2 linked regions of the Astyanax mexicanus genome follow. The protein of the gene in region 2 interacts with the protein of the main gene of each other region in a pairwise test. Links are inferred from orthologs where the notes say so. Each region holds a gene or a part of one and is shown on either strand. Other genes may lie near its edges.

Region 1 (7,676 bases), on a different chromosome or scaffold from region 2:
TAATAATAAAATTAATGCAATTTCTTATAGTTATGTAGCGTGTCTAAAACACTTAAAACTGTGGTAAAGCAGCGTGCCGATTTAGACCAAGGCCTGGTTAATCTAATCAATTCTACATTACAGTAAGTCACGTGAGCTGCAGGTGGATCTGAGCTAATCCTAAAAGTGTCTAGAGTTCACAAAGACGTCAGCAACTAAAACGCTGTATCAGTGTGTTTACAAAAAAAAAACAACATGATCTGCCTACTGCTTACTGTATTTGTGCTTATCTGCATGTATTATAATGTTATGCAGAGCTTTATAAGCTTATCCCAGGACTGCACAGCATTTTGAATGGGAATTATTCATAAAACAAACAATATAGTCCATGACTGGACTTAATTATGGTACAGGAAACAATTATACATTTTACAACTTTGAGAATATTCACTTTCATATCTATCATAGTCATCATATTTGTATCTATCTGTGTAAGTATATAGTGAAAAGGCCCAGATAGCATCAATAGATGCTAATATCTCAGTGAATATATGTTGTTCCTTTCAGTTACCAAAATTTCTGACAACATACAACAAGCAACCAAAATCCAACATCTTCCAAATGTGGCATATTAACATTGAAAATCATTACCAATACGATTATCAAAATAGCCATTTAACGTACTCTAGATGTGGCATTCAAACATCATCAGATACAGATATTTTCAGGGTGTTAGGTAAGCTTACTTCGCACTAGACATGACATTCTAACATTATTAGAGGTTAAAATGTTGAAGTTTTTAAGCCTTATTGCCTTAAGTAACCACAACCCAACACAGAAGCATCTATTCAGCATTGGACATATATTGAAGTCCGATGTCTGATGTCCAGTGCCTGAAGGGAGCATCCTCCTCAAACAGGGGAATGAAACCTTTTAATCATCTCTTCTGGACTACGTGAGGCCTACCACGTTTAAGGCCTCTGACACACATGAAGACTGAGAGCCACAGGTCTAAACAGCTTTGAGAGCATGAAAATGGAGTGCACTTCACCTCCAGAACTCCAATAAGTATCTAATATTAACCCAAAATACAAAGACGTTTCTACTTCCCTGCTGGTCTTTAATGGTTAGGAAGCTTGTCATGCTGATCAACACATACTCTATGCATGGAAGTAAGGATACACCAATATTATACATATTCATATCTGCCAATACAGATGACGATTTATACATTTATAACTTGCAGAGAGACTAGACACCCAGGAATAACTTAAAATTGTAAAAACTAGCTTACAACAAATAATTTTTAAGTAGTGTGGTCAGTGTCGGCCAACTGAAGTAGCGCACGAAACATCGCTTGGTTCTTTTCTGACATACAATAAATAAGTCAGCAAGTATTGTTTTTTTTAAATATTGGCCATTCTAAAAAAAACAAACATCTCACACTATAATTCCAATATCATTGTAAATACCTATATGTAAGCTAGCTGATTAACCAGCTCTTGACCTGCAAAATGTATACTGCATTTGATTTTGATAATTGCTTGATCATGCTATTTGACCAGCCTGGTCAAGCTTGGACATATACATCTCTGGAAAATATAGGAGACCACTTAAAAAGGATGATTTTACCAAACTGAGAACTTCTGGAATATTATCAAGAGGAAGATGGATGATCACAAGCCACCAAACCAAGCTAAACTGCTTGCATTTTTGCACCAGGAGTGCCATAAAATTATCCAAAAGCAGTGTGTGAGACTGGTGGAGGAGAACCAGCCAAGATGCATGAAAACTGTGATTAAAAAACAGGGTTATTCCACCAAATATTGATTTTTGATACTTTATGAATATGAATTTGTTTTCTTTGCATTATTTGTGGTCTGAAAGCTCTGCATCTTTTTTTGTTATTGGAATTAGGAAGAAATGTTGTCTGCAGTTTATAGAATAAAACAACAAGGTTATGTTTACTCAGAGAAACCTAGAGAACCCTAGAGAAACTGAAGCTGTGTACTGATTATTTAGCATTGTCAGGTTTTGTCATGATTGTAGAGGAGCTAAAACCAACAAACTCAAAACAAAAACATACCCAATGCTAGTCAACCATCTTAACCAGCTTAAGACACAAGGCTGTATAGGATGATATAGGTATACATGAGTATGATGAGGATGTGTGTTTGCAGTTTGCATCACTGCCCTGCAGGGCGTGGGCCTCTCCTTACGGAAACTGACTGAGCCTGCGCCAAGGACTTATGTGATGTTCAACCAAAAATAGTGGGAAAATCAATCCTTTCATCCGCATCTTCCCATCCTGCTCCATTCCCCCATCTTAGACCCAGCCTAGAACCTTCACAAATGCTAGCTAGCAGAGTGAGGACAGCCGGGAGAAGCCAGCAAAATGCAACATGCAGCCTTGAGGCTAGAACAAACATGGGGTTTGAGGAATGCTCCAGTAGCAGCAGCGTTTAGAGGAGCAGAGCTGGGGCAGGGAGGGGGAGCTTTTGGGTGCTGATGCAGGGAGGGATGAGGGATGGAGGGAGCGGGGGGATGCTGCGTTTCTTACCTGCAGCCCGGAGGAGAGAGGGAGTGGAAGGTGGAGAGAGAAAACATCTCCGCTCTGTCCGCCATCTTCTTCCACAGAGGACTCTCTAAGCAGCGACTGCAGGGGCGGACTGAACGCAGCCCATCCACAGACGGTGGGGAGGTAGATCAACACCAGCAGCTCTTTCTCAATCTCTCTCTCTCTCGCTCTCTCTCTCTCTCTTTCTCTCACTGCAGATGCTAGAGCTTAGTGGCCTCAACCTCTCTGGATCACGCGCGCGCGCTCCCTGCCATCCAACCGGATCCCCCTCCCAAACGATGCCCAAATCACCCGAACAGCAGTGAGGATGCGCGCGAGGATCACCGCTGCGGTCCCTCAGATGCTGCCATCCACACGCGCGCGCGCAGAGCGGACTGTCGGACGCTGGGATGCTCGGCGGCTCGCGCAGGCTGAGCTGGTGCCAGCGGTGAGGAGGAGATGGGAGGGATGAGGAGGGTGTTTGGAGAGGGCGGGGCGGGCGTAACGTCGCTGTGCGCCGATTTGGGAAGCGTGTCTGCGCGTTTTCCCACCCGCATTCAGACAAGCCCCGCCCCTTCTCCGCTGCGATTGGCTAGCAGAGTTGACGGACTGTTTGTGAGTCACTAACTAACTACACGCAGCAATGGATTACTAGTGGATTACTAGTTATTATGCGTAGAATGAAACTGATTATTACTCAAATATAATATATAATTAATATATACTAAAAAAAAGCTTTATTTATCCTTCTATGGTATTAATTATTATTTTACTATTTTTATTTTGTTGTGGGGGATAATAATATACCAATGACAAAATCAATGTTTTATTTTTTTATGCAGTGGAATTGGGTCAAAGCAACACTGTTTTAATATATTTAGAAAAATTAAATTGTCTTACCAATTGCTTTGGTTCCTAAAAATAAATTGTCAAAACCACTTTTATCCCTGCTTTTAGTGGAAAGAGAAAAAAAAACTTTACATGGTTGATGTAATAATAAGGGGAACACCATCCCATTGAGAATTAAACATATAAAATGCTAAATTAACAAAACAAACAAAAGAAAAAAATACAAAACCAGAAAAACAACAACCAAAACAAAAAGAGCACAATAATAAAAGAGTAATTAAATGTTAAAATTCAAAGTGCAAGAAGGTAGTAAAAATGGAATGTCTGGATGGAAAGCCTGGAATGGCTTTCAGTTAAGAGTTGTGCTGAAATCGTGAAGAGATACTTACTTGAATTGCTTTCCCTCTAAATGTGTTTGAGGGCATCAGTCGTATTGTAAAGAGTTGGTATTCAGTGAATAGCTCTGTACCTTTAACCCTTCTGTCGTGTTCGGGTCAAATCTGACCGATTTACAACTTAAAACACTCATAAATATTGTGTTTTACATCTGATTGCCTCAAGGCGTTATGATATCCTCCACACTATGCACTTGAACACATAAAAGTGATGATCACCACTTTCATTGAATTTTGAGGGTTTTATTCAACCTTTTATTCAACACTCTGTGGTGTTCCCGGTCAAATGTGACCGGCATAGGAAATCAGTGGGTAACCAGAATATATTCTTTCATCAGACAGAAAATATCCTCATACATACCACCCCAACTCACTTACTCACTCACTCACACACTCACTCACTCAGTCATCTCATGTGGATGACATCAAGTTTAGCTTCCAACTATTTTATCAGAGTTCATTGAGGGAATTATACTGGAGATGACAAACAGGGAAGCATGTGTTTGGTGACACCTGAAGAGAAATCGACCTGGTAGACCTCCAAGCCTACATAGGTCTGTTGATTTTAGCAGGAGTATATCTCCCATACAATGAGGCCACAAAATGGAAAACAGGGAAATATGGAATAAAGATCTGGGCACCAAGTGATGCCAGGAGCAGCTATGTCTGGAATACCCATGTAAGCTCTGTGCCCTTAGAGACAACAAAACAGGCCTGAGGTGCTGCAAATATGATGCCTATGTTTGCAAGGCCCACTCTGACCTGAGTGTCACATGCCACTCATGTGCATGAGATCACATGCACACACACACACACACACACACACCTTCATGTTGAGTTTTGTCTTTGGTTTTCAATGTATTATTTATAACGTTCATTTTGTAATACATTTTCAGTGCCTATTTGTACTTTCACTGCAGTTATCTTATGTATAATTCTATAAATTCAGGTTAAACACTGCTTTGAGACATTGTTCACAGCTAAAAAAAATTTGTATAAAAATTTGGTGGTGAAAAATGGTTTATGGGCTAATTTAAGAGCAGTTAAAACTGACCGGTCAAATTTGACCGGGAACACTAAAGTAAGGGGTAGGAGGTGAACACGACAGGAGGGTTAAAAGCTTAAAGTCTTCATGTATTTATTTCTGTCCAGCACTAAAGTAGTTGAAATAAGGGTCTGGCAGGTTAACAGGTAGATCAGTTTTGTCATTGTTTTGAATTCAGGGATGGCTTTTTTAACCATTTAGATCACACTCAAAATTCAAACAGATGTACACCAACCAAATGTGTGTGTGTTTCTGTTTGTCCACCAGTTGGTGTAGTCTGGTTTTTAGGCTTCTCTGCTCCTATAACAGCCGATCCATGGACTAGAAGGCGGGCTTAGTCTGAATATGGGTGTGAGAAAAAAACATACCCCATTTGGAATTTACTGACAGATGGGTCTCTGTCCCCACCACGAATGCGTCAGATGCTGCTGCGTGTGGGCAGAGCGTGAAAAGCACTGCAGTTTCAGAGGAAGATCTCACCGCCAATCAGATCACTGGAGACATAATACGATTTGTCATCTGTAAGGCCACATCTCAAATAGCACCCTGCTCCCTACATAGCCTTGTGTACTACATGGTTAAGAAAATTATGGTGAGCACACTAATATTGTATAGTATCTACAATATGTTTGACAAAAATTGACAAACTGTACAGATGTGGTGGCATTTGTGTTTTGGCTGATATCACACAGGAAATTCACACAGATTCCAAACAGACAACATAATGTAGCTGTAGATGTACAGGGCCTGGGTCTACAGGCTTTTTGGCCTTCATATATTATCCCTTAAAGAAGACACACAATATTTATTCCCTTAACCCTGCAGTCTCAGTTAGGCAGCCATAAAGAAAGGAGCTGTTCACGACCAGTTTGGTGCTGAAATCTCATGGAGAGGAATGTTAGGGATGTAGAAAAGTGGAGCCCCCTGCTGTATGGACAAGTAATGACGTCATGAAATAGGAAATATGATGCAAGTGTGAGAGGGGGCAGGGGAACAAGGTGTTCCCTTAAATGTAGTGAAGGTCGTATGAGGCCATGGTATTTCCTGTGTGAGCAATTTTATGTTCAGATGTGCAGACTTGTCAGTATTTGTGTGTGTGTGTGTGTGTGTGTGTGTGTTTGAGTGTGTGTGTGTGTGTGTGAGCGTGAATTCAGATGTCAGAGATCCAAACTGTTTTAATAAATTAGAAAACTGAATGCTGATCTAAGGTATTTTTGCTATCTGTTACTGTTTTTATCAGTCATGGAAATTTGTCAATGTTAATATTGTGTGCACTAACCTGCCAAACCCACACTATTAAGATTAGTATACAGTATATAGCCAATATTATTAGTATGTTATATGCAATTGGGACACAGCCGGAATTTTTACTGCTGCCTAACTGTAATAGGATCTGATGTTTCCAATCTGCAGGTGTGTTAGTTAGCACAGTTAGGGCACAGTAGGGTCAAAAGCATGGGCCACCATTCTTATCCATGAAGGGCTGGTGTGGTTGCAGATTTTCATTCCAATAAATCAGAAGCACACTCGATTCTACTTGTTTAATCAGCTAGTTCCAGCCTATATACAATTGAATAATTATACTGAATAGAGTGCATGTCTGCTTGTTTGAAATGTAATAAATTGACTGACCTTACTTTTTTAAGGATTTTTTCCTTGACTTAGTTAAGTAGTTTTTCCATAATATGGATTAGAATAGTTCTCAAATAGATCTATTCGCTGTACACCAACTCTACCACTTCACAACTGATGCTTTCAAACACATTAAGAAGCAAGAAATTCAAGTAATTAACTCTTGACAAGTTCAGCACAGCTGTTAACTGAAAGCCATTCCAGGTGACTCTACCTTATAAAGCCAAGATGTGAAAAGCTACTGTGAAGAATCTAAAATATAAAACATATGTTCTGCCACTATGATAGGGAGATCGCTGGTTCGAAACCCAGTCATGCAGCTTGCCATCAGTTGCCGGAGCCCAGAGAGAGCACAATTGGACTTGCTCTCTCTAATTGGGAAGATGGCACTCTTTCCCCTCATCCCTCCTAGGGTAATATTGATCAGCACAAGATGTCTGTGAGCTGATGTATGGGAATCGAGTTGCTGCGCTTTTCTCCAAGTGCACTGTGATGCTACTCAGCAAGGAGGCATGTGCTAGTCTCACCCTCCTTGTGCTGTGGCATCACTAGTGATGGGGATATATAGCTAAGTAGCAGTTAAAAGGGTAGAACAATTGGCCTAGCTAAATTGGGAGAAAATGGGAAATAATCAGAAATAAAAATGATAAAATATATATTCTGTGTTGCTTACTAAATATTTTCGGTAACTAAATAATTCTATATGTTTTTCTTTAAAGTGTTAATGTCTTTAGTTTTATTCTACAATGCAGATCATTAAAAAAGAACGCTAAATTCCAGATGTGTCGTCCTTTTTTTATATTTATTTATATTTAAGTCCTGTGGAATTCCATGCCCAAATGATATAGATTCAAATATACAAAAAAGTAACAATTTTAATAATAATAATAATAATAATAATAACAATTATTATTATTATTATTATTATTATTATTTTTATTTATTTATTTATTTATTTATTTATTTATTTATTTATTTATTTATTTATTGTGCTTTTGCTTTTTTTTAACACAATTTCCCACAAATCACAAGCTGCAGCTTAAACAGGCCAATCTGCAGTCCTCGTCTTAGAAGGCGGAGCTGCGTCTCCAATCACATCCAATCAATCACCAGCATGCTCTGGCGAGTCAACGTTCGCGTGTTGTGATTGGCTGGGTTGCGCGTCAATCATTGGCACCAAAATCTGACGACATGATAGCGGCTGACGAGTGGACCGTAA
Region 2 (6,953 bases):
TGCAATAGTATTTCTGAAAGATTATAACAGATCACTAGAATAAACACGTCCAAGGGCCAAGAAAAATTAAGCTTAATGCCCAGCAGTAACAATTTCAAAACAATAATCTTAGCGCTGTACACAATTTTTGAATAGGTAGCATAGCAGAATAGTTTTACTTCTTTAACCCTTTAAAAGCCTCTAAATCCTGTACAATAAATCACTTTTATATTATGACTGGGCAGTATATTGTAAATATCAAAATACTTGCAACTATTTTCTGAAAGATAAATGAAGATTAAGGGAGGTTACCATCTGTGTATGATTATATTCCTAAAAAGAACATACATTTGTGGTTGCTTGGTTCCTGGAGACATGACACATGACACTTGTGCAAATTATTTCATGCTAATAATGCAATCAAAGGGAGAAATATTGATGACTTTATTTCACTTCAATAATGCTAAAAACATAGTCCAGTGCAGTGTGCTAAGTCAGTGAAATATCACAAGGGAGTGCAGTAATTTTATGCACATAAATTTAATATGTAAATATTTGCTTGTTACATATACAACATTTACATATGTTTTTTATGTTTTATGTTGTAAAATATCGCCATTTCTCTTATACATCTAGATATGAGTTTTTTAGTCATATCTCCCAAGCCCTACTTCTTAGGCCCTGATAGAAAAAGAGCTTTAAATGGATAGTCTTTGCTTTAGGATTTAAAACATGCTCATCAACCTTTAAAGTACTTAATGAGTTATATGAGGGATTTTTTTCATACATATCACACATCCCTATTTCATAGGCTCTAAAATAGAAGCCTGTGGCTCTGCACATAAGCTGGCAAAGATCTATACAGTAATAGTCTTTGCTTTAGGGTTAACAACTTGATCAGCAACTTTTAATTTAAGGGACTTATAAAGGTAATATGATTTTTTAGTCATATCATATAGCTATATTTTATAGGCCTTAAAATAGACGCAGCATGTTGATAAATTAAAGAGCTATACAGTAATAGTCTTTGCTTTAGGGTTAAAAACTTGATCTGCGACTTATAATTTAAGGGACTTAATAAGTAATATGAGTTTTTTAGTCATATCACATAGCTTTATTTTATAGGCCTTAAAATAGACCCAGCATGTTGATAAATTAAAGGGCTATACAGTAATAGTCTTTGGTTTTGGGTTAACAACGTGATCCTTAACTTTTAGGGTACTTAATAAGTTATATGAGTTTTTTGTCCTCTTACCCAGCTATATTTATAGGCCTTAAAATAGACACGTGTGGAACTCCATGAAAGTTAATCAATTAAAGAGATATACAGTAATAGTCTTTGCTTTAGGGTTAACAACTTGATCATCAATTTTTAAGGGACTTAAAATAAGGGTTTTAAAGAAACAACATGTTTTCAATCAGGTAGTCACGACAGTGCACCCCCTTTCCCAGTCCCTCAGTTCCACGGGGCAGTAATGGTCGCCCTGAACGGCAGCTGCAGTGTAATTAGTGGCTTGATTCACAGTAAGGAGCTTACATACTAAGGGTTGGCAAAAAAGAAAGCAGATTACAATCCGAGAGCCTCGCCAGCTCCAGCAACATTTTACACCAGAAGACACGGGAACCTTCAAGGTTGTCAGACCTCGGGCACCTGCGGGTCACCCAGTCGTGCTGGGGAGTATCCATAAACAGTCCGAGAGAGGCTTTAAGCGGTTTGGTCTCCCTGAAAACTAAGCAGAGCGTTCAAATTGCTTTGAATTAGCTTTGTACTCCTGGCTTTGGGTCTAGAGATTGTCTGCTAGTCACATGCTCGCCTCGGTTGCCTAGCAACGGTAAAGCTTAGGCAAAAAGTTGCCGAGGGCCGCGCTCCAATAAGCGTGCTTGCGGTCTAGGTAGCACACTTCTGGCGTGCGCGGTAGTGCTCGAAGCGGGGCGCTCCGTTACTTTCCACAGCGATTCATACAGTCGCTGAGCGCTGTTGAGCGTTGTGTGTCCGACAGCCACTGCGGTGTCTAGTGTAGAAAGCTATGTCACCACACAGTCGCTAAACCCACACTACCTAGTGCGCAAAACGACACGTGCGGCTGATTGGACAGCAGCCCGGGAGAACTTCGGGTCCGTCTGAGAGAGAGGCAGGCAGGCAGGCTTTTGTGCACCAGCAGCAGGTTAACGAACAATTCTTATGTATAATGTCAAAAGACTATAGAATGGATTAGTTTAACGCCTTAAAACATCGAGAAATAGATTTTTACACATCTGTCTGTTGAGTACGTAAGCTTAAGAAACCTGTATTTTGAGAAATAGTAAGAAAAAAGTGACAAATAGTAAGGGGTAAGTTACCTCCAACAACTGTTGCCAACAGCAATTTATTGAATAACGTTACTTAAGCAAACATTGATGCTTAGTTCTTAAAATAGTTTTTCCATTATCAAACTTTTGTATCAGTGGCTAGCTAAACTATCTAACTGTCTAACGGTGTCTCGTGCTGGACAACCTTATTAGTTAGCTAGCTAGTGACGAGTGTATTTAATTAACTAGCTAACAGTCCAGTATCTACACAGACTGATAAAGCACTCAGCTTATTATTTTTAGTTAGATCTTTTAGCTAGCTAACTAGCAGTTAACTGGGCTACGCCATAAGAGGTCATCTTCCACTTAATCTAATGCAATTAAGACATAATTAAGTTTCCTTAGATAAGAGCATCCTTACCATGAACATCTATTGTTATCTCAGGCTCCAGCACAACATTAAAACACTGTCTCTCGGTGATTTAGGGTATAAGACTTGTAGATATAAATGACATGGAGAGAGTTAGCTAAATGAAATGAAATAAACTCACCTTGGCAGTTGCAGCGCAGAGTGCAAAAAGTTAGCAGAAGCACGAGCGTGCCGAGCAGTGCTGGCTGCATGTTGGTGCGGTGTGCAGCCCCTGCAGTAGCGGCCAGATGGAGCTGCTGGGACTGAGATGCTCTCACCGCTCGCCTCACCCTCTCTGTGTCCGGCCTCATGGAAAAGGGCGTTTACTAAAAGCTTAGGCACACACTCACACTCCCCCCACCTCCGGCTCCTAGGATCAAATCCTGAGCTGGCACCCACAGATCACTGCCTAATGACTGCTCTCTCTCTCTCTCTTTCTTTCTCTCTCTCTCTCTCTCTCTCTCTCTCTCTCTCTCTCTCTCTCTCTTTCGTTCACCATACCTACACATAGATTTATTAATTTACATTTAATATTTGTATTTAAAATGCATACATTTAAATACGTTTAACAAATAATATAAAAAATGCAAATAAATAAGCAATATTATGATATTTCATATTGTATCTAGTCAAGTTCTATTAATTTGTTAACATACAGTATCATTTTCTCTTTATGAGGTATAGTCACCTGGAATGGCTTTCAGTTAACAGCTGTGCTGAACTTTTTGAGAGTTAATTACTTGAATTTCTTGTCCTCTCTTGCCCTGTTAATGTGAGCATCATTTGTGAAGTTGTGAAGAGGTAGAGTTGGTATACAGTGAATAGCCCTATTTGAGCAATTTTCTTTTCATATTATGCCAAGACCTATTCAAAGTAATAAAATTACTTTAAGAAATGAAGATCATTCAATCTGAACAATTTCACGACAATAAATTTATCAGAAACCGCAAGTTAACAGCACCCCAGGTAAAAGCCTACCTAAATGCTTCACAGAGTACTTTGGTTTGTTTAGCATTTTAAGTTCACTACATGAACCCTTATTTTTTACGTCATAGTCTGGATGACTTCAGTAATGATTTACAATGTAAATAATATATAGAATTTTTCATACTGTACAAATTTTTCTGATTTGAGGTAGTGGTTAAACCTTGTGTGGTGTTCATATTTTTGTTACTCGTTTACTTTGTTACTTGTATTTAATTCAGCAAAATTAAGCAATTTTACATTAAAATGCTTTACACATGCTTGCTTCACCTAAATTGCAAGCAATATAAACAGCTTACAACAGCTTTTTTCAAATGAGTTAAGGATTTCACAATTACACAATATTGTTTGTTTTACAGTATATTTTTTTATTGCTTATTTAAATGTGTGTGTTCTGTTTTATAATTTCTAATAGCAACTGTATAAGACTTAAAGTATAACCATTTTTTTGTGCAAACAGACAAGGACTTCCCATCTGAATATCCTGCAGGTTAGTGCAGCAGTTCTTTAGCTTTCATGGGACAAGTTTACAAGAACCTAGAATACAAGTCAGAAAGACACAAACCACAGGAAATGCAGTTAAACCTGACAATGTGGGACCATCTACATTTACAAGGCCACAAATGATACAGCATTACAAATAGCAATCTAATATAAACTCATCAAGCACTTTATTAGGAACACCTACGCCTCCTCAATCAGGTTGTGGTGTAGTGTAATATAAAATTAGTATGTAACTATACTGGTAAGCTAAATACTGTGATAAACAAACTAGCTAAATTAACTACAAACCAGCGAACTGAGAAAAAATACAGCTTCTGTCAGAATGTTAGTTACAGTTAACTGGCTAAGACTATTCCTAACCATACCTGTCAAGTTTTAGATTTAAAAATAAGGGATATTTTCCTCTGTCCGCTTAAAGCCGTCCCACCAGCCCAACGAAGGTTCAGTATCCCTTACATTTTAAGACACATGTAAACCACCTACACACTACAATTAGATTATCAGAATCTGAAATGTTGTGGAAATTCCTACATATGTCATTCTTTTAATACAGCCAAATTAAAAACCCTTTTCTAGATATTAAAAAAAAGTTAAGATTTCATGTATTTTTTGGCATAAATGCACTCTTTTATATGATATATTTTTATTTATTTAATGGATTTAAAATTGAACAAAGGGTGCGCAAATTCTGCAAAATGACTGTTGGTGACCTAAAAATAGTATCATGAGCTTTTACTAAAAGGACATGGACCAGATATATTCCATCAGTAAAAATTAGTCCTAAGGGGCCTACACAATTAATAACTTTTAATGAATACTTCTTTCTTTTGATCACTCCACCCCTGATCAGTTCAGATAATTTCGGTCCTCTCACAAGCTGTATTTTTTTTTTTTTTAAAGGTTTAATCTGTGTGTTTTATTTCGGAGACGAGTATTTTTAAGCAGCTATCAGAAAAATCTCATCACAGTTTCCATGATTAGCCTATACCGTTACCTTTCTTTAAGAAAAATCGCTGAATATCCAGATATGTTTTAACATCAGCTGCTCCGACTAGCTGCTTGAACTCACAGCGACGGGGGGCTTCCCCACACTGACCCTCCTTTGCAAGCTGAATGGCTGTTTCTCCTGAAAGGCGGGACTTTCTCCTTGAACCGGCTCCACGATTGGTTAAGAGACACAGAGCGGTCAGTGCCCTGTCTCCTCAATAATATATATTTTATTATTTTAATAAAATACGTGAAATTTACGGGAAAATACTAATACAGGAGGACGGCGGGAAAGAGGAGTAAAATACGGTAGTTTCCCGGCCAAAACGGGAGACTTGACAGGTATGTTCCTAACCCACCCGGTGGCTCGTGCGTTTATTTTCCCGCTCATAGAGCAGCTGAATCAGAGCTGGTTTATTAAGAGCTTACCCACTTCCTACATCCACCGTTATATCAGAAAATTACTGCAACCGCTAGAGGGAGTCCTCGGTTTATTTTAACTTTAAGGTTTCTAAGCTGAAGGATGGTTAACTTTTTCTCAGCCCTGTTACAAAAACTCATGTGACATTGAAAAGCATGTTTAAAAGCAAGTCCACTAATTCCTTTGATTTTCTCTCAAGAAAGTGTTTATTTGAAAGAAGGGTTGTTTTCCATGTTCAAATAATTGATATTTATGACAAAAAAAATCACTATGCATGCAAGGCCATTTTTATCTTATCAAGAAGACCCACACCTGAAATTGATTTTCAAATTTATTATCATTTGATTTTATTAAACAAATAGATAAATGACGAACCAAACAGAATTGGAAAAAGTGTATTACACTAACTTACATTCATATTAATACATCAATAAACTAGGGGACCATACTCATTCCTGTTATTACTCATTACTCTTGTTACTGGCACTCACTCCTGTTACTAGCACTCATTCCTGTTACTTTTCATGTTGTTAGCAACAGGACTTAGTAAAAGTAACAGGAATTAGTTTTTAGCATACAATTAGCAGAAAACATGAAAAATTGCTCAATGGTCGATATGCTAATAGCATGAGGACTGTGAGCATAGTGATTTCCCCAAAAATTGTATAATTTATAATGAATAATTTACTCATTCTGATCTCTTTTTTCTTGTCTTATACTTTCTGGAACGATCTCCAAAATTGTCTCTCTATTAAGAATGTTGACTTGAAAAATAAAACTCCAAAGTTTTCTGTTTTTTAAAATGTGCCTTAGCTTACACTAGCTGTGTTCTTTTTATTTAACCTAAAGTATTACCTACCTTGATCTATATTTTGTCATGACACCATTTTTTTGTGTATTTTCAAATGTTTGTGCTGGATGTTTCTGGTCTTTATTATTTGTGCGATTTTACGGATTTTAAATGTACCATAATGGAATATACAATAACCACAATTAAAAAGAAAAAAACAACAACCAAACTTTAGCAATGGCGCCATCTAGTGTTCCTGGTCTGCATTTATTATGGGTATAAGGTTCTGATGCAGAGCTGCAGCCAGTGGAGAAAAGGCTGATTTCACATGATCAGCATTTGCAACGTCAACATTTACACACAGATCAGTATTTTTTATATATTTTATATATAATATATTTTAACAAATGATTTGATTAAACCACCATATTTTACGGCAAACCGTCGTAACAGTTATTTACAAGCCAGTACGGAAATCTGTGCGAATCTCTGTAACCCATAGCAACCGGAGAAACTTTCCAGCTCAGCACAGACTAGCACTGAGAGAGAGAGAGAGAGAGAGAGAGAGACTGGGAGCAACACAATGGATC

The links. The genes of interacting proteins can lie anywhere in the genome.
Region 1: the proteins of lrp2a (region 2) and mapk8ip2 interact in a two-hybrid assay, tested with the Homo sapiens proteins (2 studies listed by BioGRID). The link is inferred for Astyanax mexicanus from reciprocal best matches to the Homo sapiens genes LRP2 and MAPK8IP2.

What each region holds. Positions count from the first base shown.
Region 1 is NC_064416.1:15,328,496-15,336,171, forward strand, and holds the start of mapk8ip2 (C-Jun-amino-terminal kinase-interacting protein 2), read right to left. Parts: upstream 3,007-7,676; 5' UTR 2,605-3,006; coding exon 2,540-2,604; intron 1-2,539. UniProt on the Homo sapiens protein: The JNK-interacting protein (JIP) group of scaffold proteins selectively mediates JNK signaling by aggregating specific components of the MAPK cascade to form a functional JNK signaling module.
Region 2 is NC_064418.1:37,581,649-37,588,601, reverse strand, and holds the start of lrp2a (low-density lipoprotein receptor-related protein 2a), read right to left. Parts: upstream 3,004-6,953; 5' UTR 2,989-3,003; coding exon 2,820-2,988; intron 2,145-2,819; exon of another isoform or gene 1,911-2,144; intron 1-1,910. UniProt on the Homo sapiens protein: Multiligand endocytic receptor. Acts together with CUBN to mediate endocytosis of high-density lipoproteins. Mediates receptor-mediated uptake of polybasic drugs such as aprotinin, aminoglycosides and polymyxin B.